Linked DNA regions of Callithrix jacchus. The main gene of each other region encodes a partner of the protein of the gene in region 2 in a complex. Links are inferred from orthologs where the notes say so. Each region holds a gene or a part of one and is shown on either strand. Other genes may lie near its edges.

Evidence for each region. The genes of interacting proteins can lie anywhere in the genome.
Region 1: the proteins of IRGQ (region 2) and GABARAPL2 are in contact, whole or in part, in a crystal structure (PDB 8Q6Q), measured with the Homo sapiens proteins. The link is inferred for Callithrix jacchus from reciprocal best matches to the Homo sapiens genes IRGQ and GABARAPL2. Residues at the interface, in NP_001007562.1 of Homo sapiens: Asp7, Thr9, Leu11, Pro47, Leu49, Phe57, Pro70, Trp71, Glu74, Pro181, Ala182, Gln183, Asp184, Gly185, Phe186, Glu187, Val188, Leu189; in NP_009216.1 of Homo sapiens: Ser10, Glu12, His13, Cys15, Val16, Glu17, Ala19, Lys20, Ile21, Ala23, Lys24, Tyr25, Arg28, Pro30, Lys46, Lys48, Tyr49, Leu50, Val51, Pro52, Phe60, Ile63, Arg67, Phe104.

What each region holds. Positions count from the first base shown.
Region 1 is NC_133521.1:32,967,349-32,977,872, reverse strand, and holds the start of GABARAPL2 (gamma-aminobutyric acid receptor-associated protein-like 2), read right to left. Parts: upstream 5,426-10,524; 5' UTR 5,317-5,425; coding exon 5,283-5,316; intron 4,955-5,282; coding exon 4,899-4,954; intron 3,782-4,898; coding exon 3,609-3,781; intron 1-3,608. UniProt on the Homo sapiens protein: Ubiquitin-like modifier involved in intra-Golgi traffic. Modulates intra-Golgi transport through coupling between NSF activity and SNAREs activation. It first stimulates the ATPase activity of NSF which in turn stimulates the association with GOSR1.
Region 2 is NC_133523.1:38,085,918-38,096,217, forward strand, and holds the start of IRGQ (immunity-related GTPase family Q protein), read right to left. Parts: upstream 5,403-10,300; 5' UTR 5,320-5,402; intron 5,199-5,319; exon of another isoform or gene 5,029-5,198; intron 4,505-5,028; 5' UTR 4,503-4,504; coding exon 3,973-4,502; intron 2,228-3,972; coding exon 886-2,227; 3' UTR 1-885. Other genes in the region: ZNF576 (zinc finger protein 576), read left to right, coding at 6,220-6,304, 8,163-8,590. UniProt on the Homo sapiens protein: Autophagy receptor that specifically promotes clearance of misfolded MHC class I molecules by targeting them to the lysosome for degradation.

The DNA.
Region 1 (10,524 bases), on a different chromosome or scaffold from region 2:
GCACATTTCTAAATAAAGGATGAATACGTGTGGGGTAAGAAGTCATTAATTGGGGCCTGATGGGTCAGGACTTAGATTTCTGGTTACTCTGTCCTAAAATCCTGACTTGGGTTACTGGTATAATCTGCCTTAGGGTGGATTCTCAGCAGATTGGAAAGGCAAATGGGACTTGGAGAGAAAATGGCCTTGAAGCAGACTCTGTTGCCCTGAAAACCACTTTCCATATCTAAGACATCACAACTTCCTCTTACTTAAGATCTCTTTAAGATCAACAAGCAACTAAACACCAGATTGTTAAACAGCACAGGTGTCTCAATCTCAAATTATAATACCTGGCCAAGCATGGTGGCTAATACCCATAATCCCAGCACTCTAAGAGGCCAAGACAGGAGGTCACTCGTAGCCAGGAGTTTGAGACCACCCTGGTGAGGTGGGAGGATTGCTCAAGCCCAGGAGTTCAATGTTGCAGTGACCTCTGACTGCACCACTGCACTCCAGCCAGGGTGACAGAGCAAGGCCTTGTCTCAACAACAACAAAAAACCAGTATCTTAGAGATCTTTTATTTAATGATATACTCCTGTTTCTATTTTAAACAGAGGATTAAGACGACTCTTATCTAGGTTCTCAACCAACAAAGACCATACAATGCCAGGTCCGAGTTCCTCTCTAAGGCCATGACTAGGAAACTTGTACACTGACGTTGTTTCTAAAGTTCTGTCTGCACAAAGTTCCCCTTCCTGTTTTGGCCTGATTCTTGATGCAGGCACCTGCGCAGACAATTCAACTTTCCAGTGCTAAATGGGAAAAGGCCACTGTGATTCCTCCTTTTTTAAAAGAAACAAGAACTTAGAATTTAGGAAGTAAAACTTAGGGACTTACCTATGTCTCTATTTAAATAATTAATATTTAATAGTAACAACTCTCAATAAAAATCATGACACTTGGGTCGGGTGCGGTGGCTCAACCCTCTAATCCCAGCACTCTGGGAGGCCAATGCAGGCGGATAACCTGAGGTCGGGAGTTCAAGACCAGCCTGACCAACATGCTGAAACCCCGTCTTTAAATTAAAAAAAAAAAATTTTTTGTAAATTTTTTTTTTTTAAAAAAAGAAAAAAAAAATCATGACACTTTACATAGTGACTGCCTGTTTTCTACTGAAAGGCAGAAATAAATGAGAAGTTACTCCCCTTCATCCTCAGCCATAATTGATCTTCATGCATACCAGTCAGTCACCAGAGAGGGAGGGCTTGTGCAGGCTTGAATTCGTCCTTTCTCTAATTTCCCCAGCCACCCTTTGAAACCAGCAAGCACTGCATGAAGGTTAAGGGAGGCTCCATGTTTCTCTAAAGAGGCTGGAAAGACCTGAGGAAGAGGCAGCTAAACTGTCTTGGGGAAGAGATGGTGAAGGGGAGTTACAGCCAGCTTTAGGAAGGATCCTGTGGTATTTTCGTTTATGCTGCTTTGGAGTATTAATTTGCATAAAGCCCAATGATGTCACATGGCCTCCTTTGTTTAGACACAAATTTGTATTTTTAGCTGGGTGTGGTGGCACACACCTGTGGTCCCAGCTATTAGGGAGGCTGAGGTGGGAGGATCACTTGAACCTAGGAAGCACAGGTTGCAGTGAGCTGAGATTGCACCATTGCACTCCAACCTGGGCAACAGTGAGACTCCGTCTCAGAAAAACAGAATGGTTTTTGAGAATAAAACCCCAGAATGAACAGTTGCATTAAGTGTAAGGAGACAAGTCATTAACTGGGGCCAAAGGAGCTGATGGGCTGGGCAAAAGGGCCCTGGCTGGGGACTCTAAATCCTGAAGGGTGAGGATTTGGATTTCTGGTTACTCCGACCTAAAATCCTAACTACAGTTACTAGTGTAATCTGCTTTAAGGTTCTCGCCACACTGGAAAGGCAAATGGGACTTGGAGAGAAAATGGCCTTGAAAAAAAAAGGAGAAAAAAAAGAAAATGGCCTTGAAACAGTCTCTGCTGCCCTGAAAAATCATTTTTAATTTCCAATTCTATTTATATCTCAGGGAAAATGGGGGAGGGGACAGTTGATAAGACTGTAGTCATTTTAATTGCTAGATTACTGTGGAGCCATCAGAGTAATCATAAGGTCTCCAGAAGCCTGCTTCATTTCCTTTGAGAAGAACCAGAGAATCAGAATTGAGGAAAATAAACTTAATGCCATAGGTCCTAGTCACTTACTTCCACTAAGCGACCACCTCTGGGAAGGAGAAAACACAGGGTCACCAAGGCTCTGCAGAAATTGCAGATGGTATAAAAGATTACTTCCCCAGTCACCTTAAGGAAAGCCCAGGGTAACTATGAATGCCCAAGGCTTCCTCCTCTCGTGAAGATAGCCCTGAGGCCTGGGAAGGAAGGTTGGAAGAGCCCCATGGATGACAAAATCACCTCAAGCAACACCACAGCTTCCAGAGCTACAGCTGCAGCAGACCAATGGTGTCCAGTGGGCAGGCCCTGGGCTATCTCCTCAGGTTGGACACTGGCCTTAGGGAAGGAGCTTCCATTTCTCCCCTGCCTTTCTACCAGACACCAGGAAGTGGAGGTGGTAGAGACTGGGAAACAGGTAATCAGACCAAAAAATAGCCAGAGCTTTCCACCTTTAACAGAAATAAAGTCTGGAATTTGGCACGGGCCTCTTAGGAAGTCTTCAAGGATTTTCAACAGGAACCTATCTGGGCAACATTGGGCTAGTTCCCAGGGCTTCTGAAAGCCTTCACTTTTAGAAGTATTACTTCTGGGGGTGGTAAATGAAACCTACTTTGGGTCACTAAGGTAAGATGTGGCCAGGAACTCACACTCAGGGGAGAGGTGAGGGCCAGAATCTGGATCAGAGCCTAGAACTACCCACTCAGTAACAGGAAAGGACTGACCAGGAGCTTAGACGGAGCCTGTCCATTTTCCTCATTCCAGAGGGGACTAAAGCTGGGCTGTCAAATACACAGAAAATGGAAATTCTAATGCCCCTGCCTACATTCGGGCTGCAAGTTACACTCCCAAAGACTGCTTCCAGGCAGCACCATAGTCTGACAGTCAAAGCAGGTGCTACCAAGGAAGGTTTAAGTCTGTAAAGAGACTTCAGAGCCCTTTACTGTGCTGCAGTCATTTTGTCAGACTTGAGGATCAGACAGCTATAGACTCTTACAATGGCAGAGAGCTGACGAAGTTTGGGAGCACGCAAACCGCTTGATTAACTGAGTAAGCCTCAGCAGAACCCACAGGTTCCCAGTGGAGGAGAGTGGCCAGACTGTCTTCAGGGAAGAAAACCTCATTTCAGGCATCAGTTCTACCTATGGCTTAAGCCTAAATAAGTCCTCAATGTTTTAAAAGATTCTTGGAGGTCTCAGGCTGAGTTTCATCCCTTTTTTAGAAGTCCAGGCCTTGTTCTATTTTCCGAATCTAAAATGCACCCTTATGTATTGCAGCCGTTATTTTCCTGGAGCCCCTGATGTCAGGGAGCACAAAATCCAGATTTCTAGTCAGAACCCCCAAGAGTTTTCAGACCTCCAAAGTTTTTGAGTTCTCTAAGCAGCCAACCAGATGTCTAACACCAGAGGACCCATCTAGTAAACACCTCTCACCTGGACTGTGGGACTGTCTTATCCACAAACAGGAAGATCGCCTTTTCAGAAGGAAGCTGGATCCTTTTCCTGATGATCCACATGAACTGAGCCACAGTGATATCAGATGGAACCAAGTACTTCCGTTTGTCAATGTCAACAATCTGAGAGCCTGAGACCTTTTCCACAATCACCTGGGAAAATAAAGAGAGGTCAGGACTGGGTTTCTAAAGCCAGGCTCTGGCCTCAAGGCTGAGGAGCTGAGGAACAGAGTGTGGGCAAGGAGGTGGGTGGGAAACTGCATAGCAGGAGAAAATATGTCTTTGGCTTAATAACCACATGCTCTGGAGGTTAAGAATTGATATAAATGGGTTATAGGGAAACGGTAAGTGCTTTTCTGTGGTCAGTTATGTAAGAAAAATGCAGCCCTTACTACTAAGCTTTTCCACATTTTATCTGGGCAGACCTAAGAATATGTGGGGATCCACATCCATAGCCCATTACTCCAGGACCCCAGAATGGATCCCCTTCACACTACAGGAAACACTACTGTGTTCCCAAGGAACACAGGAGACAAGAACAGATGGACTAATGGGAATGCCTGGAATTTCAGCCAGCCAAGAACCAAGCTCTTCATTTGGCCTGTTGCTCTTCTCTGAACAAGTTTCAAATCCGTCCCTCCTTCCCCCAACGGAATTATTCACAAGCAAAGAGCTACAATAACAGGCCTTAATGTCCATTAAAAATTAACAAGAATTACAAAACTATCTCCCCAAACATGGAAAAAATATATTTACTACTGACTAGGAAGAAAGCATAACAGAAAAGGGTTTTCAGCGGCTTCTCACATTGTTTTGGTCAGGCAGGGATGACAGGGTCAAGGTGAGGCAACGGAGCCAGAATTTGGGTAAAGATGGAGGCTCCAAGTAAAAGGTGAAGGTCCTGAGACTCAAGTACCACTTCCAAGACCAAAGTGACAGTCTCCCTCCACCACCGTTCCCAAAAGTGGCAGTGACCTGTTGCCCTGTCCTAGAACATCGTTCCTTACATAATTGGCCAGGGAGCCCCGAGGCTGCAGACAGCTCTCGCTGGCCTAGATCCGGAGATTCAGCACTGAGGCACCCTGAACAGCACCAGCCCGAGCCCCTCACGCCCCGGCCCTGGGCGGCCTCATCGCAGTCTGGCCCGTCCTCTACTACAACTGGGAATGGAACCTCAACTTGTCAACTGTTGAATGGCCTAGGGCCTATCACGGCTCCCAGATGACAGAGGTGACAGCGAGGTGAGGGGGCGGAGAGTCCAATCACTCACCGGAACCCGGTCAGGATATTTCGCTCGGATCTTCGCGGACTCCACGCATCTGTGTTCTGTGGCAGAAACAAACAGGGCTGACGGCCGCGCCTGCCCACAGGTCGGTTCCGGGCCCTCGGCCCTCCTCCTCCTGCGCCTTGCGCACAGCCCAGGCCCTCGTTCCGGCGTCCCCACGGCCGCGGTCCTGTCCCCTAGCTCCCAGGGGGGTCCGCGGAGAGTGACGCGGGGTCGAGGGACGGCTGCTCGTGGCACCGGAGCCTTGGCGGCTCGAGCCCGGAGCGCGGCATACGTCCTGCTTCACCCGGCCCAGGGCCGCCCGAGTGGGGGAGGGGGCCCACCTGCCGCCGCGGCCCCCCGCGGCCGGTCCGATGGCCAAGTGCTTACCCAAAGAGTGGTCCTCCTTGAACATCCACTTCATGGCGGCGGCGGGGAGGGGATGGAACCGGCTCTCGGAGCCGTGGAACTCGGCGTACCGACCACAACAACAACGGCGGCGGCGGTAGCAGCGACGGAGGCGACTACACGGCAGGCGGGACTTCCGGCTGCTGGAGCCTAGCAACCGGTCAGGGGCGGGGCTTCCGGCGCCACTGGCCAGGAAGCTATGCCAAGGGGCGGGGCCGCACGTAGTCACGGAGGGCTCCTTCTGGGGGCTACTAGGCTGCGGAGGCGGTGAAGTTGGTTACGGGGGCGTCTGTGAGCAATATCGGCGACCCCAGGAAGAAATGTTCGGGGAACTGGTGACAGGAGTGGGGTCTCGGGAGTGTTTGTGGCGGGAAGCGTCTGGCTGATAGTGTATGGCTCTGAGGGCTCTTTGGGGGTGTGGCTGATAGTTGAGGGCTCTTAGAGCGTTTATAGGGGAGGTCTGAATAGGGAATTGGTGACAAGAACGGTCTTTGGGAGTAAGAATGACTTAAGGGGAGTCTCTAGTGCTTGGCGATGACAAGGGAGCTGTTTTGGGCGTTGACAGTTTGGGGGTTATTGCTCGGAGTGGTGACAGGGTGGGGGCACAGTATGGGAGGGGTGGTGTTTGAGGACACTGTGTAGGAAGCAGCACTGAGGACAACCTGGACGTCCAGTATTAGGGACAGCGGTAATAGGTTGCCTTGGACCTAGAAATTGAATTTAAACAAATCCCATTTTCTTCCCTTATTCGTGAATCTATTTGAATAAACATTTACGAAATGCACATTCGAGGTAGGACGTGGTGGCTCCCGCCAGTAATCCCAACACTTTGGGAAGCCGAGGCAGGAGGATCCCCTGAGGTCAGGAGTTCGAGACCAGACTGGCCAACAGGGTAAAACCCCATTTCTACTAAAAATACAAAAATTAGCCAGGCATGGTGGCACACACCTGTAGTCCCACCTCCTTGGGAGGCTGTGGCTGGAGAATCGTTTGAACCCGGGAAGCGGAGGTTGCAGTGAGCCAAGATGGCCTGGGTGGGAACAAGACTCTGTCTCAAAAACAAACAGACAAACAAATGCACATTTGAAGAGTATAACATAACTGATCACAGACCCTTTAACCTTAACTGGCAGAGGAGTTAGAGGTGACAGTCAGGCTTGGAGAATTCCCCTGAGAGCTGGTCATGAGATGGGTTTCCTTGTTTGGCTGTGGGAGTGGTTTAGCAGTCACAGCCCAAGCTGTGTGTGTCACCTGCCCAGACATATGCCTTGAGGTTCTCCAGCCAGTGATGTAATGCCTTTCTTCCAAGCAGAGTCATCAAGGCAGTCTGGTCTAGGTCACCATCTGTTTATAAGCTGCTGAGCACGTAGCAAGAATATTCACTTAATTTGGGCACATGAACCCTGCCACATGCTTGTGATTCTGATGCACCTGTAAAGCCTGTATGTTTGAACATGCTAGTTCATCATTTCCTACACTGGAAATTCCCAATTGATGCTGTGGAATCTAGCTTCATTCTAAAAGTATTTTTGTTATTTTAAGACTGTGTGTCTGACCAATCAGAATAGGTTTTATGTTTGTTTGTTCCTTTGTCTTCGTTTTTGTTTTTTGAGGCAGGCCCTCGATTTGTTGCCCAGACTGGAGTGCAGTGGTGTCATCTCGACTCACTGCAACTCTGCCTCCCGGGTTCAAGCGATTCTCTCCTGCCTTAGCCTCCTGAGTAGCTGGGACTACAGGCATGCACGACCCCTCCCAGCTAGTTTTTGTATTTTTGGTAGAGATGGGGTTTTGCCAGGTTGGTCTCCAACTTTGTACCTTAAGTGATTTGCCTGCCTCGACCTCCCAAAGTCCCAGAGTACTGGGCGTGAGCCACTGCACCTGTTTGTTTGGTTTTTGTTCGGTTGGTTGGTTAGGTGGGTTTTGGGGTTTTTTGTTTGTTGGTTGGTTTTGTTTTTGTCTTTTTTGAGACGGAGTCTCCCTCTGTCACCCAGGCTAGAGTGCAGTGGCTTGATCTCAGCTCACTGCAACCTCTGCCTCCTGGGTTCAAACTATTCTCCTGCCTCAGCCTCCTGAGTAGCTGGGATTACAGGTATGTACCACCACACCCAACTAATGATTGTATTTTTGTTTTGTTTTTGAGACAGAGTTTCGCTCTTGTTGCCCAGGCTGGAGTGCAGTGGCGCTGTCTCGGCTCACCACAACCTCCACCTCCTAGGTTTAAGCAATTCTCCTGCCTCAGCCTCCCGAGTAGCTGGGATTACAGGCATGCGCCACCATGCCTGGCTATCTTTTATTTTTAGTAGAGATGGGGTTTCTCTATGTTGGTCAGGCTGGTCTGGACCTCCCAACCTCAGGTGATCCGCCTGCCCCGGCCTCCCAAAGTGCTGGGATTACAGGCGTGAGGCACGGCACCCAGCCTGTTTGTTTGTTTTTAATGAAGTGAAAAAGCCTTTGAATTTCCTACTTAGAAATTACTGTTGTTACATGTAAGAGCTTTGTGCTAGGTGCTGGGGAAAAAACTGAAGACAGATGACACCCCTGTTCTCATGGGTGGGAGCATGACATATTCTTGTCTCCCTGACATATTCTAGTGGGACAAGACAAAAAATAAATATGTCAGGTACTGACAGATGCTGTTTAGAAAAATTAGGCAGGGCAGGTGACTAGAGAGTGTGTTGGAATGGAATGCTAATTAGATAAAGTGGCTGACATATTCTAGGGAAGCCCTGTGGCTGGAGCTAAGTAAGAGAGGAGAGCTGTGTTACGAGACAAATTCAAAGAGATCTAGAACAAAACTGTGTAGAGCTTTAAATTCCATGCAGAGAACTTTGGATGTTATTTAGAATAAGATAAGAAGTCAGTGTACGTTTTTTTTTTGTTTGGTTTGGTTTCATTTGGTTTGGTTTTATTTGAGATGGAATCTTGCTCTGTTGCCAGGCTGGAGTGCAATCTTGGCTCACTGCAACCTCTGCCTCCCGGGTTCAAGTGATTCTCCTGCCTCAGCCTCCTGAGTAGCTGGGACTACAGGTACACACCTCCATGGCCCGCTAATTTTTGTATTTTTAGTAGAGACAGGGTTTCACCATCTTGGCCAGGATGCTGTCAATCTCTTGACCTCGTGATTGGCCTGCCCCAACCTCCCCAAGTGCTGGGATTATAGGCATGAGCCACTGTGCTCTGCCCAGTATAGGGTTTTAATCAGAGATGTAGCACAGACTGACTTTCCTTTTCAAAAGGCTAGCTTAGTATATTGTAGGGGCTGAGGGTAGAAGCAGGGAAATAGTTGAGAGGCTATTCATCATCCTGGTGAAAGATGATGTTGGCTTAGGCCAAGCTGGGGTTGACAGAAGCAGTTGTATTCTGGATATATTTTGAAGGTAGAACTGGTAACATTTGCTGATAGATTGGATGTAAGATAATGAGGGACAGATCAAAATCAAGATTTCTGGAAGGATGGAAATACCATTTACTGAAATAGGGGGGAACCAGCTTGGGGAGTGTAAAACAAGAGTTTGGTTTTAGAGATATTAAATATGAAATGTCCAAGAGACATATCCAGGTGAAAATGTAGAGTTGGTAGATAGTGCTATGTGTCTCAAATTTAGAGAGAAATATTTAAAGCTATTGATATGGGTAAAAGTAGGTGGACAGGGAGTTTATAAATGAAAATACCTATCTACAAATAGAATTAAACACTGAAGAATGAAGATGGTGGTTCATCATCTCAGTGAGCCAGTGGAGGAGTTAGAAATTGGACTCAACACCGCTGCTTCCCTTTACAGAGCTGGTCACTGTGTCCTAGTCCTAGATATATGAATATTGCCTTGCATGTTACAGAGCTGAGAACAGTTCTCAGGGGAAAGTTTCACTGCTCACCAATTCACAGTCATGTCTCCTAATGGTCTCAATGTTGTGCAAAGCATTTTGGTCTTCCATCCTTACCCACTTTCTTGGTGTCTTTTCCCAGTTCACCCTTCTAATTGGCATATCTCATCCGCCTTGATGTTACATACTACCTTCTTTACATGGTGGGTCATTGTATTTAGCTATGGAGTGTTCTAAGGACAATGGATGCCTTCCTTGAGCGGGTGGTTAGTTGAGGTAAGTCAGCAGGAGAAATAGGATAATGAATCTATGCAATGTCATTACACATTAACAGATCTCTAAAACACACAGAGTGAATTTCGAATGTTGGAGAGGTATGTGAACATGGATACTGAGGCATTGCTAGGGCAATGGGGGTCAGCACAAAGCCAAGTGAGAATTAGCAAGAAAGACTTCATGGAGAATGTGTCTTCTGATATAGAGAGAAGGGTATACATTTTTCAATGGGTAAACTTTTCCTTTCCAGATAAAAACAAAGTATGGGTTTGGAAGAGGAAACAGGAAAGCAGTATAGATAAGTAAATACAATGTTGGAAAGCTTTGAGGCAAACATTCAGAAGTTCTAACCTAATTCTAGAGACCATGAATAGGAGCTTCTATAAAGGAGAAAGGAACATGATTAAAATGTGCAGTGTGGGAACAGGTGCAGTGGTTCATTCCTGTAACCCCAGCACTGTGGGGGTCAAGGCAGAAGGATACTTAAGCCCAGGAGTTGGAGACCAACCTGGGCAACTTGGCAAGACCTTGTCTCTTAAAAAAAAAAATTTTTTTTTTAGATGGAGTCACCTAGGCTGGAGTGCAGTGGCATTATCTTGGCTTACTGCAACCTCCACCACCCAGGTTCAAGCAATTCTCCTGCCTCAGCCAAAAAAAAAAAAAATTTTTCGAGACGGAGTCTCACTCTGTTACCGAGGGTGGAGGTGCAGTGGCATGATCTTGGCTTACTGCAACCTCTGCCACCTGGGTTGAAGTGATTCTTCTGCCTCAGCCTCCCAAGTAGCTGGGACTACAGGTGCCTGCCACCATGCCTGGCCAATTTTTGGAGATTTTTTTTTTAGTACAGACGGGATTTCACCATCTTGGTTGGCCAGGCTGGTCTTGAGCTCCTGACCCTCGTGATCCACCCACTTTGGCCTCCCGAAGTGCTGGGATTACAGGCATGAGCCACAGCTATAGCACCCGGCCCCCCAAAATTTGTTTGATTAGCCGGGCACAGCTGGGCACAGTGGCTCACGCCTGTAATCCCAGCACTTTGGGGAGCCAAGGCAGGCTGATCATGAGGTCAGGAGATCATGACCATCCTGGCTAACACGTGAAACCTCGTCTCTACTAAAAATAC
Region 2 (10,300 bases):
TCCCAACACAAGGTCTGCAGGAGCTCTATCTCTGAGGTTTGCTTTCCTGCCCTTTCACACCCAGAAGGCCTCATTCCTGGTCCCCAGCTACTCTCAGAGCCCACCCTGCCCAGATCTCTTACGTACCTCACCTCATTTTTGTGGGACCACTGTCTCTACAAACAGACTTTTGGAGGGCAATTAGTAGAAACCCATCTACTCCCCAGGAGTGATCAAGAGGTCTCCAGCTTTCTCCCACAAGCCCTCAATCCCTCCTCCAGATGCAGACCTCCCCAGACCCAAGAATTAGGAACCAAGGTCCCCAGCCATCTTGGAACCCAGGAGGCCAAGACCCCAGAGGCCTCCTCAACCCCATAAAGATTCAAAGCCCACTGCTCCTTGGGGACCTGTGTACAGGCTTTTTCTCCAAGAGAAATGTAGACCCTGTTTCCCTGAGGCTCTGAAGCCCATGAGTTTCAGTTCCCTGGGGTGCTCAGGTCTCCCACCCCTATACTGGAGCTCAAATCCCAGTCATGGACATCTCCCCACCAATTAGGAAACAGGACTTCTACCCTCCTCCACTGGAGGACTAAACATCCAATAACTCCAGTTTCTACTCCCTGGGAGACAAAGACATAGTCCCTTCCAGAGTCCTGGCCACCAACTCCCTTCAGTACTGAAGGGTCTGGATGTCATGCCCCATAGTTACCAAAGAAATCAGGATTCCTGTCCTCTAGACTCTCTGAATCCAGGTGATGAGAAATCACATATCCCAGCTAGATGTCAGAGTCCACCTCCCCTTCAAGCACCCAGAATTAAGCCCAGACAACCCCTGCCAGAATCTGGATTCCCAAGCCCCCTCCCCTTGAGGTGAAACTTGGGGGAGTCTAGCCCCCATCCCACCCCTCACTGTGCAGACTCAGGGGGTGCCAGCACGGCCTCAGCATCAGCCAGCATCTCATCGAGTGCCTGCAGCAGGACGCCATGAGCCGCTCGGTAGCCCAGGCCACCTGTCGCCGCTGCGCCACCAGCAGGCCACAGGAAGGAGAGCGCGCCCAGTGCTGCGCCCCCAGCAGTGCCCTCACCCGCCCACGCGCCCAGCCTTGCTTCCACCTCAGCGCGCGTCACTGGGCCTGGGAAACGAGCACGCGCTGCCAGCTCACCAGGAGCCAGGCCCAGAGCGCGCTCACGTCGAGCCAGCGCCGCGGGTTCCAGCCCTAGGCCCCGTCGCCATTCGGCCAGCTGACCCCGCAGAAGCGCTATGTCGCATGCCCAGCCCAGTCCTGGGAGTGGTGCTGCCGCAGCCGCCAGGCTAGCCAGCAGAGCTGGCCTCCACGCCCCGGCTCGTAGTGCCGCAGCCTTGGTTCGGGCAGCGCTGGGAGACGCTGGTGGCAGCGCCAGCAGCAGCGCCCCTGCCTGGGCTGGGGGGAGCACTCGCCGCATCCATTCGCACAGCCCTGGGAGTCCGCCAGGCCGTAGGGGAAACACTGGCGGCGGTGCCTCCTCCAGCACCTCCCACATCTCGTCCTCTGGGCTTAACGCGGCGGCCCGCTCTGAGTCCCCACCGCCCGATTTCTTCATGCCAACAACCTGCTGCAAACCCTCGCTGCCAGCTTTCCCAGAACCTTCCCTGCTGCCTGCTTTCTGCGATCCAGTGCTATATTTCTCCCTTCCCTTACTGAGTGCATTCTCCAGTCCCCCTCCGCCCGCATTCTTTAAGCTCTCTCCGCTGGGTTTCTCCATCTTGCCTTCTCCCACACACTCCGGATCCTCACCCTCGCCGTCTGTGCGCACGCAGACGAGAGGCGCATCTGGTAGCACCAAGGCCTGGACCTGGGCCCAGTCCTTCTCAGTGGGGGCCCCAGGGGTGACGAGGATGAGGGCGTCGTAGTGCGAAGAGTGGGAGGTGGCAGCGGGGGTGGTGGCAGTGCCCGCGGGATCCAGAGGCACAGTCCAGAGCACCACATTCGGGCGCTCTGGGGCCGGGAAGGGAGTGGGTCCCATGGGCACCGAAGCAGGCGCAGCACCTGGGTCGCCAGGATCCAATCCGAGCAGCATGTCCAGCACAAGGCCCACATCAGCCTTGCCGGCCACGGCCAGGTCTAGCCGTGCACTGCCCAGGCGCTCCAGGCCTGAGCGTACCCACGACAGCGCAGCCTCCAGGCCGCCGGTCTCAAAGGCCTCGCGCACAGCCTCCAGCTCTGCTGCACCTAGCACCTCGAAACCATCCTGGGCCGGTGGCAGGAGCCTGCGGAGACAAGAAAGGACAGGGTCAAGGGTAGAAGAGGGGCTGGGTGACAAGGACTGGGCTATGATGACAATGGCAGAGCTTTCCGAGTAATCTCAGAGTGGGGCAGCGGAGGGAAAGTGAGGGGCCTGACTGATTGCACAGCAAATAGAAACCAGATGGGGAGGGGCCATGATGATATGGGAGAGGCTTAAAGCAATAATGGAGTCTTGATGATTGGATGGGTGGGCTTAAGGTCAGATTTCCCACCCTAGCCTAAAATGGGGATTGGACTAAGACTTCTACCGAATACAGTATTTGGGGGCGGGGCTTTTCCAAGGGTCAGCTGTGCTGGGCGGGACAAAGCTCAAAGAGGGTGGGGCCTAGAACAAATAACCGCAAATGTGTCTGTCTCAGTACTATTTGAGACAGACAAAGTCCCCAAAGGCACTCTTTTCAGAGGTTGGGCCTAAGGAGGGTCAATGAAGGGAGAAATCTCATCTACTAGTTCGTACTAAGCAGGAGTGGCTAAGGTAGTCACCCAGGCAGGTGAGGCTAAGGAAAAAAGATGAGAGTACTGGAACAAGGAACTGCCTCTGTGAATCTCATTTTAAAGTCTGAAAATGATGAGGCTGGCAGGTGGGAGAGCCAATTCAGGAGGTACCTGGCAAGTGGGCACAGAAACAAGAGGGAGCTGGAGAAAGGAGGTGGATGAGGACGCCCCCAAATAATGCTCAGTGGCCAGGCGCCGTGGCTCACGCCTGTAATCCCAGCAGTTTGGGAGGCCAAGGTGGGCGGATTGTGAGGTCAGGAGTTTGAGACCAGGCTGGCCAACATAGTGAAACCCCGTCTCTACCAAAAATACCCCCAAAAAAGGAGAGAAAAAAAATAGCCGGGCATGGTGACGGGTGCCTGTAATCCCAGCTACGTGAGAGGCTGAAGCAGAATAGCTGGAACCCAGGAGGCAGAGGTTGTAATGAGCCGATATCGCACCTTTGCAGTCTAGCCCAGGAAACAGTGTAAGACGCCATCTCAAATAAATGAATAAAATAATATATTTAATAATAACACTCATTGCGAGTATGGCTTTAGGGCAACCGAGGTCGCTTGAAAACCAAGCTAATGGTGGAGACGGCTCAAGGATTATCATTTTCAGGTAAAATCTTCCAGGGGGCTGGGCACAGTGTCTCATGCCTGTCATTCCAGCACTTTGGGAGGTCAAGGCAGGCAGATCACCTTGGTTGGGCCAGGGACTGGAAAAATGAGCCTCAGGGCCCCAACAAATAAAGTGTTAAGCCCTTCCCTTCTAATCCTAGGGCTCTGGGAAGCCTGGGTGGGAGCGTGGCTTGAGGCCAGGAGTTCAAGACCAGCCTGGGGAAGCAGTGAGATCCTATTTTGTAGCCTGTAGTACTGGCTACTCTGGAGGCTGAGGCAGAAGGATCATTTGAGCCCAGGAGGTGGAGGCCCTCAGTGAGCTAGGATTGTGCCACTGCACTCCATCCTGTCTCAAAAAAAGACTGGGTATGGTGGCTCTCGACTGTAATCCTAGCACTTTGGGAGGCTGAGGCGGGAGTATTGTTTAAGGCCAAGAGTTCAAATTCAACCTAGCCAACATAGCGAGATCCTGTCTTTGACGGAAAAAAATATACAATAATAGAGTTAAGCTTTGCCTCAAAACCAGTGGGGGAGGGATCTCACGGACCTCAAAAAGGACCTAGGTGCGTAGGGTCCCAACTAAGGGACCCAGCCAGAAAGCCGGCACTCACCTCCTCAGCGCTTCTGCCTGGCTCTGCAGTGCCACCCGGAGGCGCTCTAGCTCCTCACAGCCGTCGCAGCTGCCACAGTTCGCCGGTAGCACAAACAGATCCGCGGCTCCTAACCCAGCGCTGTTCAGCAGAGCTGCAGTCTGATCACGGGCCTCGGTGGCATTCTGTGAATCCCCAGGACGGAGGTTCCGCACAGCCAGTAGCGGCGTCCCTCGGGCCAGGGCGGCCCGCGCTGCCTCTCCCAGGGCTGGGGCCAAGGGTTCGCCGTTGCCCTCAGGTCCCGGCAGCACCAGTACCAGCAAGTTGGCTTCCGCCGCCCAGGGCCCCGGCGCTGCGGGTGGACAGCTCAGCTCGCCCAGAAAAAGGCCCGGGCCCGCAGCTCTCAGGCTGGGGACCCCAGAGTCCGGCCGTCCCTCAGGGGCCTCGAGGGTCTCCACATCCTTGTCGCACAGCGCTGTGATCAGCGCAGACTTTCCCAAGCCCGGAGGCCCGAGGAATAAGGCGGTCACGTCACCCTGCGGCGGAGGCATGGCTGGAAAGCAACGGGTGGAGAAGACCCGGGTCAGTGAACACCTGGCCTTTGTCTTTCCTAGCCGCCCCACCCGGAACCCAGGACTCAATCCTCCACTCTGTCCCCTTCGATTCTTGAGCGTCATTCTCCGGGACCTAAAAAGCCAGAGCCCAGACGCTATTCCCCCGGGATCCCAGGCATCCTGTCTGCCCACCCTCTTTCTAGATGGAAACGTTTCCCCTTCTGCTTCAAAAACTCAAAAATCAGGGGCGGTGGCTCATGCCTGTAATCCCAGCGCTTTGGGAGGCCGAGGCGGGAGGATCGCTTGAGGCCAGGAATTCGAGACCAGCCTGGGTAACATGTGGGACTCGCTGGTAGAGTCCCTGTCCCTATAAAAAAATAAAATTTAGCCGGGAGTGGTGGCGCACGCCTGTAGCCCCAGCTACTCGGAAGGCTGCGGTGGGAGGGTCGCTTCAGCTCAGGATTTGGAGGCTGCAGTGGGCCATGAAGGCCCTCTCTCAAAAATAAATAAATAAAAATAAAACCTCAGAAATTTGGCTTCCAGTCCCTCCTCCCTCGGACACACTGTTGTTTTTATCCTCCCCCTCTCCGCCTTCCAAATCACCAACCGAGCAGAGCCGACCCACGGGAGCGTGCAGTCGGTGGCAGTGGGTCAGTCGCGGAGAAGCTCGACACTAAGCCGCGGTGGACGGAGGCCGAAGAGGCCAGAACGCCGTGATTTAGAGATGCCGGGACGCGTCCCGTTGGCTTTAACCTGACGTCACTCACTCAACCAAGGGGGTGTGTCTTGGAAGCGAGACTGCAGAGAACCAGACCTTCGCAGCGCCTGCGCAGAACGGCCAAAGTGCGCACGCCCCTCTTCCGCGGCCTCAGAACCTAGAACAATGAGGGAGTCAACGCGCCTGCGCGCCACGAGCGCCTACTCATTCAGACGCAAAAAGCTTAGGTATCTACGGCACAGGGGGCTAAACGTCATCATAACGCGCCCTAGTGCAGAAAAGGACCTCTCCCGTTATTTTCAGCACCGGGCTGGTGCGACTGTACTATTGCCGGATGGCAAATCCGGGCTCTCGGCTCCGAGAGACTCATGTGGCGAAAGGGCGCAAACCACGGGGGACCCTGAGACTGAGTGGGCCCTATTCCACTTCTCTCTGGGTGGCGGCGCTGTGGCGAGAGACTGACAGGCGCAGCGAAAGGCAGCCCTCTGCTGTACGAAGGAAAACAGAGGCCTGGGAGCAGGAACCTGTAGGCAGCGCTTGCGGGTAGCGGGATAGTGGCTGCAAGCGCGGCGCGGGCTCTGGGCGGAACAAAAATCACAGGATGTCAGAGGATGTTTCCCGGGAAGAACTGGGATAAAGGGTGGGTATCACTACTTGCCCCAAGACACTCGAGACTGGGATGACGCTGGTGTCAAAGATAAAGGCTCCCAGGCTGAGTTCAGTGAGTTTGATGCAGCAGGTCATAGGTCACACCAGTGAGAAGACTCTAGGGGAGTCCCAAACCCGGGAAGTCCAGTCTTTTGGGAGATTTGAAGCTTCTCTTAAAAAGAACTCCACCAATTAGAGTTCAAGGAGAGTATGTCGTGGGGGTCAAAGGCAGGCAAGGAGAGCCTCTGGCGATGTCAAAGGTCATAGACTTAGGGTGCCCTCTGCTGGTAACAGATGAACAGCTTCACTTATGCACGCTCCTCTCTTGACTAGAAGGGTCCCAGCACCATGGAGGACCCGAACCCTGAAGAGAACATGGAGCAGCAGGATTCACCCAAGGACATAAGTCCCCAGAGCCCAGGAGGCAACATCTGTGAGTACACATGGCTGGCTGGCTAGAGGAGGGTGGGATGCAGGAGTGACGCTAAGATCTCTGTGGCACTTTAGTGTCCAAGGCGCCACAGAGTTTTGTCTGTCGAGAAGGTGCTGTAATGGCCCATAAGCTGCTCCAGAAGGAAGTGCCTCTCCTCACACCTGCTTTTGTGGCCAGAGTACTCACCCTCCTCTGGCCGCATAAGCAAGATTGCGATGCTTATGCATTCAGAGGGATAAGGTGGCTTCCAGGAGAGGCTTGGGTTGGAGATGTGGCTAAGAATAGTTTTACTGGGAGAGAAGCCCCAAGATCCTAGTGCTGACTCTGCCCTAGACTTTCAGTGTAACTTGGGCCTTGGTCTCCCAGTCTGTCAAAAGAGGCTGGCACTACCCACCTTACAGGGTGGTTATGGGATTAACTGCAGCAAAGGGGACAGCTGGGTGTTAATGATGGTAGCCAGTTTGATATGTAATAGCAGTATCTCCTGCTCAATGTTTTATTATGTGCTGCGTGTATTTATTCTTAATGAATGATTTTAACATTCATTATCTCATTCAGTCCTTCGAATAATAGGCCCTTTAAACTGGGAACTGAGGCAGAGAAAGGTATTTCTAACAAGAGCTGTAGTCTCAATGCCCTTGAGCCAGAGACTACCAGGAACACACCCGCAGTTGAACACATTGGGTTTATGGCTCAGTGCAATGAAGAACACACACCATGGAGAACTGTGGAGTGACTCACTAAGTGTTAAAAACGACATAGGATTTGGGCTTGTGGGGGGTGGTTTTGGAAAAGGTTCCAGCAAAAGTGTTGGGTGGCTCTGGATTGGATGCCACCAGGAAGCAGGGGCAATTCTGTGATTGGCTATTTTAATAAATCTTATGCAGAAGGGGGAAGGAAGAAGGTGAGGCTCAAGTTCTGACTGATAAAGCAGCAGCGGACATTCACATTAGCCAGGATGGGAGGAAGGTTGGTCATTTGTCTGCTTGGACAGCATTCATATTTTGTCTGTGTTCAGACATTATGATGATGTAGTCTTGTCTTGATTCATTCTTGTCACAGCATGGCCTTGGCTGTCCTTGATGTTGTGAGAAATTATTTATGTTCAACAGAACACCAAGGTCTAGCTGTGAGTTCCAGAGCTGATCCTGGGTGTCGAGCTACATTGTCTGTATCATTAGTCACCATTGCAAAGGACTACATAGCAATTCAGTTATTCCTTCCAGTGGTCCTATGGAATAGATGCTGTTATTAGTGCATTTTCCAGATAAAGAAACTGGTGTGATTGTGTCTAGGAAGTGGGGGAGCGGTCTGGCTCCAAACATTAGGCTGTAATCACCGTACCCCTCTATTGGGCTGGCTGACTCTGGGCTCCACCATTTCTTTTCCTAGCCTCATGACTATGGGCAACTTGCCTAACCTCTTTTTTTTTGGGAGATGGAGTCTCACTCTGTCACTCAAGCTGGAGTGCAGTGGCATGATATCGGCTGACTGCAACATCTGCCTCCCAAGTTCAAGGAATTCTCCTGCCTCAGCCTCCTGAGTAGCTGGGACTACAGGTGAATACCGCCATGCCCAGCTAATTTTTTGTATTTTAGTAGAGACGGGGTTTTACTGTGTTGCTGAGGCTGGTCTTGAACTCCTGAACTCACCCACCTCAGCCTCCTAATCTCTTTGAATCTCAGTTTGTTCATCCATAAAATGAGTCCAAGAACAGTTCTCCTGTGTGGTCGTCCAGCATTAGCACAGAACCTAGCACACAGCACACTCAATGTTAATTGCTGGTGTGATTCTGGGGCTCAGGAGAGGTCCTGGAGACTCCCACTGGCCTCCCCTGACCTCTTCCCACATCCCTCAGGCCACCTGGGGGCCCCGAAGTGCACCCGCTGCCTCATCACCTTCGCAGATTCCAAGTTCCAGGAGCGTCACATGAAGCGGGAACACCCAGCGGATTTCGTGGCCCAGAAGCTGCAGGGGGTCCTCTTCATCTGTTTCACCTGCGCCCGCTCCTTCCCCTCTTCCAAAGCCCTGATCACCCACCAGCGCAGCCATGGTCCAGCCGTCAAGCCCACCCAACCGGTTGCAACCACTACTGCGCAACCCATCTTCCCTTGTCCTGACTGTGGCAAGACCTTTGGGCAGGCTGCTTCTCTGAGGCGGCACCGCCAGATGCATGAGGCCCGAGCCCCTCCTGGCACCTTCGCCTGCACAGAGTGTGGTCAGGACTTTGCTCAGGAAGCAGGGCTGCATCAACACTATATTCGGCATGCCCGGGGGGAGCTCTGAGTGCAGCTTAAGCCTCTCCATGGTGACAGGTGACGTTGTGCCCCATGAGACCCACCCATGATATGGGGTGCAGGAACTCTGGGGGCCCTGAGGGATTTGCTTCCCTCCCCTGGGAGGGCAGATAGCTCTTAATAGAGAGGACCCAGAAGATTCTCATTTAGAGCTTCAGTCTTTGGAGGACACAGGGCCTTCAGGAGATGGTGAAATCAGACAATAATGAGATCTTTTGTTTATAAAAAAATGGGAAGAGAGTATGGGAGAGAAATGATTTGTGTCTCCATAATTCCCAGTTATACACTTAGCTGTGGATTGTGCCATCACCCTTCATTCTTCCCAGATGGATACCATGGGCTATGGGAGCAAACTGCCCTGGACCTTTGCCTGAATGAGGGCAGGGAAGGTAAGGTGTTGCTGGCCTGTAGTGCCACCGGATGAGTTCCAGATATGGGGCAACTTGGGCCTTTGGGGAGGGGGCAGCAAAGTTGGGAGCTGGATCCCAATTGAGTGGGGTGGAAATTCAAGTCCTTGAATCTCTTCACACCCCCCCCTGCCACCCTCCTCATTCAGAGGGGCCATGTCACTGGATGGCACTAGTCCCCTGATAATTGTTTAAATAATTTTGGGTATCATTCTAGTCATGAAATATTTTTTCATATTTGTAGGTGACATGGTATGAATAAGCTAACGGGAATAGTATCTAAAAACAAAACATCCATATTAAAATGTCTAAACCGGGAGTTCTGGCTTTTGAGTGGGAATTTCCAGAGAACATAAGGGTGTGGGCAGGTGGGAGAACTCAGGGCAGAGTTGGCCTCGCCTTGTGGGGAAACTGATTTGGAATCAAACAGAGATGCCTTCTGTTTCAGGTTTTATTTGGCCAACACTGGGAGATTTCTCATTAAGATCCTATTTTCAGCTCTCTTGAAAGGCCCAACCCAGGGGCAGGGCAGAAGCTACAACAGGCTGGAGCAAGCAGTGGGTGTCACCCTCAACTGGAGATGAATCCCACCAGGCCAGTATTACTCCCTTAGTTACCTGCCCTGCACCTGCAGACAATGATCAATGCCCTGAATATAACACTCGTAGACTCTGTTTATGTGGAGGGATGTTTGCTTTTTTTTTGAGACGGAGTTTCGCTCTTGTTACCCAGGCTAGAGTGCAATGGCGTGATCTCGGCTCACCACAACCTCCGCCTTCTGGGTTCAGGCAATTCTCCTGCCTCAGCCTCCTGAGTAGCTGGGATTACAGGCACGCACCACCATGCCCAGCTAATTTTTTGTATTTTTAGTAGAGACGGGGGTTTCACCACGTTGACCAGGATGGTCTGGATCTCTTGACCTCGTGATCCCAAATCCTAGCACTTGGCCTCCCAAAGTGCTAGGATTACAGGCGTAAGCCACCACGCCCGGCCCGTGGAGGGATGTTTTTAAAGCCCACAGGTGAGGTGGATGTGGTAGACTGATCACTATCAGTTTTTAGCTAGGCACATGGTAGCTGAAAGACTACATTTCCCAGATTCCTTTGCAGCTAGATGTGGCCATGTGACTGAGTTCCTGCTAAATTCCTGGGTAGAATGCTCAAGCTTAAGAAAGGGGTGGTCAGGTGCGGTGGCTCATGCCTGTAATCCTAATACTTTCGGAGGCCAAGGCCTGGACACCCTGAGGTCAGGGGTCCAAGACCAGCCTGGCCAACATGGGGAAACCCCGTCTT